Linked DNA regions of Rattus norvegicus. The protein of the gene in region 2 purifies or fractionates together with the protein of the main gene of each other region. This does not show direct contact. Links are inferred from orthologs where the notes say so. Each region holds a gene or a part of one and is shown on either strand. Other genes may lie near its edges.

Region 1 (4,736 bases), on a different chromosome or scaffold from region 2:
CTCCACCTTGCAATTACAAATGGAAAGATTTCCACCTTACTGGTAAATCTCAGGAATGTTACACAATCTGATTTTTTATAATTTATAAAAGCTATGGTTTAAGATAACTGGTTTTGAGGCAGGGTTTCTCTGTGCAACAGCCCTGGCTATCCTGGAACTCTGCAGACCAAGCTGCTCTTGAATTAACAGAGATCTGTCTGTTCTGCCTCCTGAGTGCTAGCATGCATCATTACCACCCAGCAAGATAACTCTTAAAGCAAGGCTAGAAAAATAGATGTATATGTAAACGTAAGCATATGATCACAGTGATCATTATTTCAACACTTGAAAATATAAACAGCATCATTTATAATTTTTAAGGTGGAACTTAGTATCAGGCACAGAGATAGTTTGTCTGACTCCATTAATTTGCTTATTCAAGTCAAATGTCAACTACTATATAAATATTTTCTATAAGCCATACTTCTTAGTCATATCATAACTGATAGTAAACTTGGTAAGAAGTAGGGTTGCTGTTCATTTAAAAGTGTTCTCATTTTAACTAGACAAATTTAAACTACAATTTAAAAAGGAGTTCAGTTCCGCTATGTCTGGAAGCACTTCCCAAACAAGTGAAGTAAAACCCAGGTTTGGGTTTTAACTCTATCACTTGCTATCATTTGCAGATATTGTCTCATGGAGAATGATATATGCTTACTTCTCAGTAAGGGAAATACTAAAACAAACAAACAAACAGTTTCCCTATCTTATAATAAAGTCAAAAGAAAATACACAGCATTATTTTAATTCTACCACTTAAACATTTGGTATAAAGTTACTGAAATTTTTTTACCTTAAGTCTGGCAGAGGTGAGGGATTAATAAAAAGATTTTTAAATCTGTAGTTTGTAAACCTAGAGAAGTCACTTGTTCCTATTTCTTTATGGGGCGTTTCAATGATAATGCAAGGACTGATTCCTCCAGACAGTACAGGTGGCCAACAATTCTGTCATTTCAAAACAGAAAGAGAAAAACCTGTAAGTGCATTAAGAAACCTTGCCTTTGTTCTGCATCCTCAAATGATAGCCAATTTGATGTTCATACTTAATTTTTAAAGCTATATAATTCATATTTGTCTCCATCAGTTAGATAAGGAAGCCTGGTAATACAAGGCATTAAGTACTGAAATAACGAATGCATTTGTAAAGTAAAATAATTTCAAGAGTAGTTGTTCTCGGAATCTAGAATAGGATACTTTATAAAGTGTTTTCTAATACTTGAATGCAAAAACATCAAAAGATCTAGTCAAGTGGAGTCATTTAGAGGAAAATTACCATCTCCAAGTTAGCACATAGGAAGGGACACTGAAGCCTGGGTGCCACACTGACAGTGACCTCACATCCTTTTCATGCCCGCTCAGAGCGATCAGGCCCTCCACTGTAGTTAGAAAGTGAACAAAGAGCAGTATAGAGGCGGGCCCTGGTACACCAGCCAGCTCCAAAAGGGAGGGATGTACAAAAGGGAGCCAGCTGCTTCTAGGCCAACTACCCTGCAGCTGTAGAACTCAGGCTCACATGAACCCCTCCAAGTTCACCTCTAAGATCATTAGACTCTTCCTACTGTAAGGCAGTAACAGACCGTTCTACTCTTACGCTTCCCCAGCCCACCCAGGCCAGTTCTGCATTACCCTAATCTCATACTGATGCTTCTTGGTGATCTCCTCTGTTCTTTTTTTGACATCCTGGAGAATAGAAAAGAAGATGTAAACTAAGGTCTCAAGCAAGGAATATTCTTCCCTTTCTCCCTCTTGTTCCTTACATCACCTGTGCTGTTTTTCTCTTCTTGGCCTGAATTATCTGGGCTTCTTGTGGAGAGTCTGGCTGGTTGGGCCGGGCATGCTGCTGCTTAGCTTGTAAACGGCTACTGTGATGAATTTTAGAAAGGACGTTTAATTAGTAAGTCAGATATTTCAAAAGCAGCAGCAAATTTTGAAACATGTCTCCCAGACTAACAGTGTTACCTGCGTCTTGACATTCTCTTCTTTGAGGCCTATGAAACCTCTAAATGGGGGAGAAGAAAAGTAAAATCAAGAACATAGTCATCCATAATCTTCAAGTTCCAACTAAAACTAACATTACCAGAAGGTGGCCTGAACCTTTAAAAAGAAACACTGCACTATCTTCTGAAATACACTAGTATCTCAGTAACTTTACGTCCATGCTTTCATTTCCTTAGCTGAATGGCCAGTGGGAACGTGAGTGCGTTAAGGAATGTGCAGAGGACCCTAGCACCCTTTAGCCCGATCTTCTGGGTCATTCATGCACTCCCCAGTCCAACTAGGGTGGGAAAGGCTTGTCCTGGACTCAGCCCGCCAGGCGCCTGACCGAGCCTCCAAGAGCGGGCTGTGGAGAAGCCGGTTCCGCGCCAATTTGGAGAGCGGCTGTGGCGGGGAAGCAGGGGGTGGAGGGAACCTTCTGGTGTCACGTCCTCCAGGCTCCTTTCCCTCTTTCCCAGCCCCACCCGGCGGGTAGTGTCGCTTGCAGGGGTGATGGGACCTCAATTTCAAAAGAGCAGAAGGAAATTGGGGGGGGGTGTTAAAGGAGAAAACCGGGCTTACGAATTTCTCCGTGAAGAGACCCACACCTTAATCCTCCCACGCGGGAGACCTTCCCAAAATGAGGATGGACAGAGACGCTCCCAGAGAAGCTTTTCGTGGCCTCTCATTTGGGGATACACTCCATCCCGTGCCTCCCCTTGGCCTCCTGACAGGCACCGACCTCGGGACCCCTTAATTCCAGTCTCCTATCCCTTGTCCCCACTCCATCCCCCATTTTTCCTCTTCCACGGCTCCCGTCAGATGAGGTTCCCTTCGCTCCCCTACACCCCTGTCCCCAATACCTTCTCAGCGCCAGACCCTCCTCAGCTCGGCTCAGCTGGCGCCGGCGCCAACTCAATATATAGGCCTGGCCCGGACCGCCCCGCACGCATGCGCCGCAGACTGACACCTCGGACGGCGCCTTCCCCTCCCCCGCCCGCGCCCGCCCAGCTCGCCCGCGCGCGCCGCGCCCTGCCCTCAGTGCGCGCGGGCGCCGAGTGGCCGCACGGCTGCCCTCCCGGACCGTGCTCCTCCGCCCCTCTCGGCGCTTCACCTGCGCGCGCCGCGGCTGCAGCGTCCGAGAGGCCCCTCCCCCGTGTTAGTGGCCCACCGCGGACGCCCGCAAGCCTTCCAGTTCACGCCCGTTCCCCTCACGATAGCTCTTGGATCTCGGGGTGTCAGGCTGCGGTTCAGCTCGGCTTTTAGGGGGAGGCGACGCTGTCCCGCCCAGGCCTCTGGGGGGACGGGAGGGGGGCACCCAAATCTTCTCAGAGGCTGGGGAGCGGGAGCCGGAGGGCCCGCCCCTGCGGGAGGAGCGAAGCCGCGGCCGAGGAGCTGGCCAATGGCAGGAAAGGACGGCAGCACAACGTGGAGCGGCCGCAGAATGTAAACATTCCGGAGCGCGCCGCCCGCCACGTGCGGAGCCGGAGCCACCCGCCTGGCGACGAGGGCCTGCTCGCCGCGGCCGCACACCGGAAGGCGCCTCAGCCCCTGGACTAGGTACGTGTGAACCCTGTCCTCGCGCCCCGCCGAGCGGCCACTCCGCTCTTGCCTACGGCTCCCTCACGGAGCCCGCGCGGGAAGTTCTTGCGCCGCGCGCAGCCTTTCTCCGCAGACTCCTGGCGCTAACCACCTCTCGAGACTGAAGTGGGAGCCCTCCCCATCCGCAGGAGTGCGGAGTCTTCGGGGACCTGGCCGAAGGGCAGGACGGTCGGCACCACGTGCGCGCCCCGGCCGCGCGCCCCGCCCCGCCCTGCCCTGCCCCGCCGCCAGCGCGCCCTGCGGAGCCCGCGCGAACCGCCTGCGCGGGAGAGCCTCCCGCCTGCGAGCGCGGCCCGGACGTGGCGGACCGCCCCGCGCCGCGCGTGATCCGGGCACTTAAGCTCAGGGCTCCGACTACCTCTCCGCGCCCTGCGCCTCTCCAGGCCGGGTTTGTGGGTGACACTCCTCACACAGTCGGGTGGCGGGACGCCGCTCGGGGAACAAAGACCCCCCCTTCCCCCCCAGGCCGCGAAAGCAGAGGAAGGGCTCCTGGAGGCAGGTGTTCGGGCGTTTGCCCATCCCTGTCCGGAGTGAACCGGTGTGAGGGTGCCAAAGACAGCGGCCGCGGGGGCCGGCGCTTCCCGAGATGCACCTGGAGGCGGCCGGCCGCGGCGGGCCTTTTGTGCCACGCTGTTCTTGAGGGCCTAGGAAGGCCCTCAGCTTTCCTCCCGCACAGCCCCCTTTTCAGACACTTTCCGAGTCTTGGGGGTAGTAGTTCCTTACACTAGCAAAAGCTCGCTTTCCCAGATTTACACATAGGAGACAGGATCAGAGGACACCCAATACCTTGTCTTGGCCTAAGGAAAGTTCGCCCAACCAGTAATTGCTTATCACGACTCTGGAGAGCGAGGGAGTTGCCTCCCTTTGCGGGAGCTGTCATCTTCTACAGCTTAGAGTTCTCACCGGTTATGGCAAGAAAACAGAGGGTTGTACGTGGTTACCTTTCAGTAATGTGTGTTAAATGAGTGTAAGCAAAACTGATGGCCTACAGCCTCAGCTTCGTAGTGAGTTCAAGACCAACCTAGATTATGTGAGGGCACTGTCTTTTTTTTTTTTTTTTTTTTTTTTTTTTTTCTTTTTTTTCTGAAGCTGGGGACCGAACCCAGATGAGGGCACTGTCT
Region 2 (4,723 bases):
TCTAATGGCCATTTTCCATCAGCTCTGAACAAAAAAAAAAAAAAATGCTATGTCTGTAGAAGGTATATCATGACGTTATGACTTCTAAACACAACCAATTGGAACCCTATGCCATCTCTATATCCCTTCGCTTATTTTTAAATTTCAATAAATGAGGACCTGGAAAGTTCATAATAAACTGTTAAAATCTATTTATATGCTGGGTTACGAGTGGGCTTTAGAAATAGAGACTGCTGCCTTTGTTCATAACAAGCTTATAAATTATTATATATCGTCGGCTCATATGAATAGTCAATCTATGTAAATTTAGGGGCTGGGTTACTCTAATTAGGCAAGTGGGGTGATGAGATTTTGACACATGGAAAAATCCACACTTGTGCTGGACCTTCTCAGTTGGTCCTAACATCTACCATCCATTTCCCCTATAAACATCCAAACCATCCTGTTCCAGCACAATTAGCATACGGCGCTGACGTGTTAGAGGACTGCTTCCTCTGGCTGCTCATTTAACTTCTGCTTTGTAACCTCAGGGTTAAAATCAGAAATTCTGTGGGAGCGTTAGTACTTCTGAACTTTCCATTCTAATTTTTTTTTTTTAAAGTCCCTTTCTTACTCTCCAAAATTTACCAGCATACAAGGAAAGGCACAACTTTAAAAAAAAAAAAAATTAAAAAAAAAGTACAGGGAGGTGGTGGCAAAATGCCTCTGATCCCAGCATTCAGGAGGCAGAGGCAGAGGCAGCCAGATTTCTGTGAGTTCAAAGCCAGCCTGGTCTACAGAGCAATCTCCAGGGCTGTTTGTTAACACAGAGAAACCCTATTTCGAAAAAAAAAAAAAAAAAAAAAACAAACCCAAAAACCAAAACAAAAGCAGAAGAACACAAGACACTCCTAACCAAACCTGCACTACGTGTACCTGGTTTTTCTTTTAAGAATATAAACGTAATTATATATTTGCCATTTTTCTATGGTTCAAACGGCTCAAAATAGGTTATTGGCTGAAAACGAACCTCTGGGAAATGGGTTCTCATGAAGTGAGAATGGGAAGGAAAATTGTCATTTCCAGCTTAAGTTTTAATGGGATTCAGAAGGATATAACTTTCCCTATCCTTTGGGGCCTTGGTGGCAAGTTCTTGGGACACTCATTCTGGTTCCATTTTAAGGTAAACATCTTGGGATACAAATACTGCATACAGTCCCCTCAAGTGATTCCAGCCTTCCTCAGTGTTAATTTTTTGACCTAGGAAAGTAATTCCTCCTGGCAGGCAAGTAATCTGCCAGCAGTTCTGGGGTCTGCAGCCCCCCCCCCCCGGGGGAGCGCAGCCCAGCTAGGGTGTCAGTTTTGTGCTCTTCCTCATTAACCCACCGGAGCTGTTTACGTCTGGCGTCGAAGGCCGGGCTTCTTGGGCGTCTGCTCCACAGTGCCAGCATTCGGGGAACCGTCTGAAACATTTTCTTCTGTTCTGTTGGCCCTTTTGTTTTGCGAAGAAGAATCTAAGAGGGGGGCAAGGGGAAATTTTTAAAAGAACACACACAAACCATCTTTATTATCGAGAACAATGGCTGACAGAAGTTGGCCCAAGAGTCAGGGGATGATCAACCCACTACCTCCACCCACGACCCCAGGACCCGTCATCCCCGGTAGCCTCTAAGGACACAAAATGAGGTTGTTTCCACTAACACAAGGAGTATTCTACGCCCCACGTCTCTTTTTCTCCCCCTAGCCAAGAAGGAGGCAGTTGGTAAACATCCTAACTTTTGTCACATATCTACAGCTGGCTAGAGGGGAGGAACTGTGACGCGTTAGGCTGGGGAAGTTATCACATCTTACTATCTCCGGCTTCTGACTTCAAAATCATAAACAGGCCAGGCAGTCAGCTGGGGGTATTTCAAACCTAAGCATCAAACAGGCTCGATCTCCCAGAACTAAAGCAGAACACGCAGGAAAAAGCAAGCGAACAGGGTCTAGCAAAGAGGAGCTACGGAGACAGACAGACATTTTAAGTTTTCCAAAGAATCATCACCTTCTGCCGCAGGTCGCTTCCTCATCCCTGGACACTGCTCCGCTAACCCAGCCGGACTGTCTGACGAGTCAGGCATTTGGTCCACCAAATGCCGGTCCTCAGAGTTTGCCTGAGACCCAATTGAAGGCACCGCCTGGCGGCTCCCGCTGACATCCAAGCTCTCCTGCGCCGGCACCTTGCAGGCGCTCTTGGGGGGGCGCGGGGGTCTGTAGTAGAACTCGGGCAAGCTGCCCCTCTCCACCTCCTGCCACTCGTATCTGCCCTCCAGGGGCTTATGATTCTGAAAGTCGAAATTCCACTTGCGCTGGCTCGCTTCTTCCATATCTCGGCAGTGCTTCTCCAAGTCCCGGGTTAGTTCTTCATGATTGACCGGGCCGAAGAGGTTTCTGCAGGCGGAAGGCTTGGGGTGCTCGGTTTGTCTGGCGTCCATCCGCTCCAGGCTCGGGCTCCCGTTAGACACTCTCACGTTTGACATCTTCCTCCCCGGGCGGGTGTGGACCACCGCCTCGCCTCTCTCCGAAAAAAAAAAAAATGAAATGAAATAAACAACAAAACCAAACAAAAGCGAAACGCCCCTGCCGCAGCGCAAACCCCACTTCGAAGTTCTGCGACTGCACACAGAGACGGCCAAGTGGAGTAGAGCCAGGCGAGCGACCGTCCGAGCCGCAAGAGCGCGCAGGTCTTGGGGAGAGAGGCGCAGGGACGCCCCGGCCGCGCAGCTCGAAGCTTCAGTGATCAAGTGTACTGGAGGGCGGGGAAGGGAGGGGAGGAGGCAGGAGGAGGTGGCAAACAGTCGGAGTGTAGGCTGGGGCGAGCCCGTGGGTCCCGCGAACGCAGCCCCTCTCCAAACCTTGCCGCCGCGCAAGTCTCGGAGCCGCGAGTGAGTCGGGACAAGGGATGAGGGGGGAAAAACACCCCGAAAGCACGAGCCCCCCTCCTTTTTTAGTTGCCCAATATGGCGGTGGAAGGGAGGCTGACGAAGAAGAAGATGATTGACAATGCAAGTCTATTTAAACAGAGGAGGAGCTCCATTGGTCTGGGCGCCGGGAGCGGCTCCGCCCAGGCTGGCGAGCGCGCTCTTAAGGTGGCCCCGGGCGCGGCGCCGCCGCCTCTCCGCGCTCCCGAGCGCGCCGCCTCCCCGTACCGCCGCCAGGACATTGGCTGGTCGCGTGACTACTCGGAGGTGTACGACTGCCAACAAACCTGCTCTGGCTGGCCCCGGAGAAATTAAAAATAAGACAAACAAACTAGCCAAACGGCCGGAGAGCTGGGGAGGGGCCAGCGCGGCGGCCAGGCGGAGACCCGGGAATCTAGGTCCGGGCGCTGTAGAGCTGCGCTGGCAGGCGCGCCACCGCTCCGGACTGCGACCTCCAGGTCTTTGCCCGCGAAACCCAGGGCCTGGGCCAGTGAGCTCCGAGGTCGCTGGCTGCTTGTTTGGAGCCTCAGTGGCTAGTTCAACCCACCTGCATTCGCCGAGGTGGGAATGAGGGAGGGTAGGCGAAAGATCCAGGAAACCTTGGCTCGGTGCCTGGGATCCCCCCCCACCCCCACTCCCCGCAGGGTGACTTAGCTAGGTTGCGGGAATCGGCCGCTTAGCCTGACCCCAGAAGTCTCTGCTAAGTAGGACAAGCCGGAGACGGCTTCAAAAAGGAACCAGGACTGACGACTCTTATCAGGGTGTTTCTGAATCCAAGCACTCCCATCTCGAGATTCAAAACCCTCAGTGCTCTCTCAAGCCTCTTCATCTGCTTTATAGCCATCAGACACTAAGTTTTGAAAAAGCCAGCTCTGATTTTTCTTGGTTCCCAAGCACAGTGGGAACCAAGTGCTTTCCAAGTGGGAAAGCCATTGCTATAGGCTGCGTGTGGGAACTCGCCTCTATAGTTTCTATACTCTGCAGTTCTTCTCCCCCAGAGCTGAAGCCGTTTCCTCCACCTGAGTCCAGACGCCAACTACAACAGCTCCTTCCTTCCTCCCCTTTTCTCTCCCACCAGCCTGTTGCTTCCAACCTACTCAGAACAATATTCAAATACAAGCAAATACTTTTAGAGAGCTGCAGGCTCTTGAAGGGCGAAAATGCTTTCCTAAGGGTCCAAGACTAGATTTGCAAGTGATTTATAATACTACCACCCAGGGATTACCAACACCTACTAATATTGTTTGGGTATTTTCTTTAGCTCCTTGGGCAACTTCACGTTTCTCTGTCAATGCTGAGCACAGTGGTAGAAAGTTAAAACAGTGATAGAAGTTAAAATAGGTGGGCCTGTCGTGACTCAGAGTTCAGTGAGATTTTTAAGAGCTTTACCCACTAGGATTCCCAAACAATCTTGGTTTGTGCTAAACACAATGCATCTTATTGGAAATAAAATTCCTGTTTTAGTGTCCCATAGAAGCATAGTTTTCTTATGCTATGGTGTAGTGAAACTGAATATTGACTTGTTTTCTTAGCCACATCTTGTCTGTCAGGATGTGCGTGTGTGTGTGTGTGTGCGTACACACACACCTTGCCTCCTAGAGTCAAAATGTAACAGCCCAGAAAGCCCTTAGATGAGTTTAGCCTCTTTTTTAGCAATGAGGACATTGATCCTCTGGTTTCCTGTCTGGGGACCTCCATCCAGTTAGTGGCAGAGTCAGGATTAGATGCAAGTCTCCTCATTCCCAGGCTGGTTCATTTTTCTGCCCCTCTCCCTCCTGGTGGTC

What was found.
Region 1: the proteins of Cdkn1b (region 2) and Ccne2 purify together in Homo sapiens (co-immunoprecipitation; 5 studies listed by BioGRID and IntAct, with this or other methods). This does not show direct contact. The link is inferred for Rattus norvegicus from reciprocal best matches to the Homo sapiens genes CDKN1B and CCNE2.

The regions. Positions count from the first base shown.
Region 1 is NC_086023.1:29,081,575-29,086,310, reverse strand, and holds the start of Ccne2 (G1/S-specific cyclin-E2), read right to left. Parts: upstream 2,967-4,736; 5' UTR 2,877-2,966; intron 2,039-2,876; 5' UTR 2,013-2,038; coding exon 1,999-2,012; intron 1,902-1,998; coding exon 1,802-1,901; intron 1,720-1,801; coding exon 1,666-1,719; intron 985-1,665; coding exon 833-984; intron 1-832. UniProt on the Homo sapiens protein: Essential for the control of the cell cycle at the late G1 and early S phase.
Region 2 is NC_086022.1:169,489,691-169,494,413, reverse strand, and holds the start of Cdkn1b (cyclin-dependent kinase inhibitor 1B), read right to left. Parts: upstream 2,911-4,723; 5' UTR 2,874-2,910; exon of another isoform or gene 2,538-2,873; 5' UTR 2,499-2,537; coding exon 2,024-2,498; intron 1,494-2,023; coding exon 1,375-1,493; 3' UTR 1,366-1,374; intron 1-1,365. UniProt on the Homo sapiens protein: Important regulator of cell cycle progression. Inhibits the kinase activity of CDK2 bound to cyclin A, but has little inhibitory activity on CDK2 bound to SPDYA. Involved in G1 arrest. Potent inhibitor of cyclin E- and cyclin A-CDK2 complexes.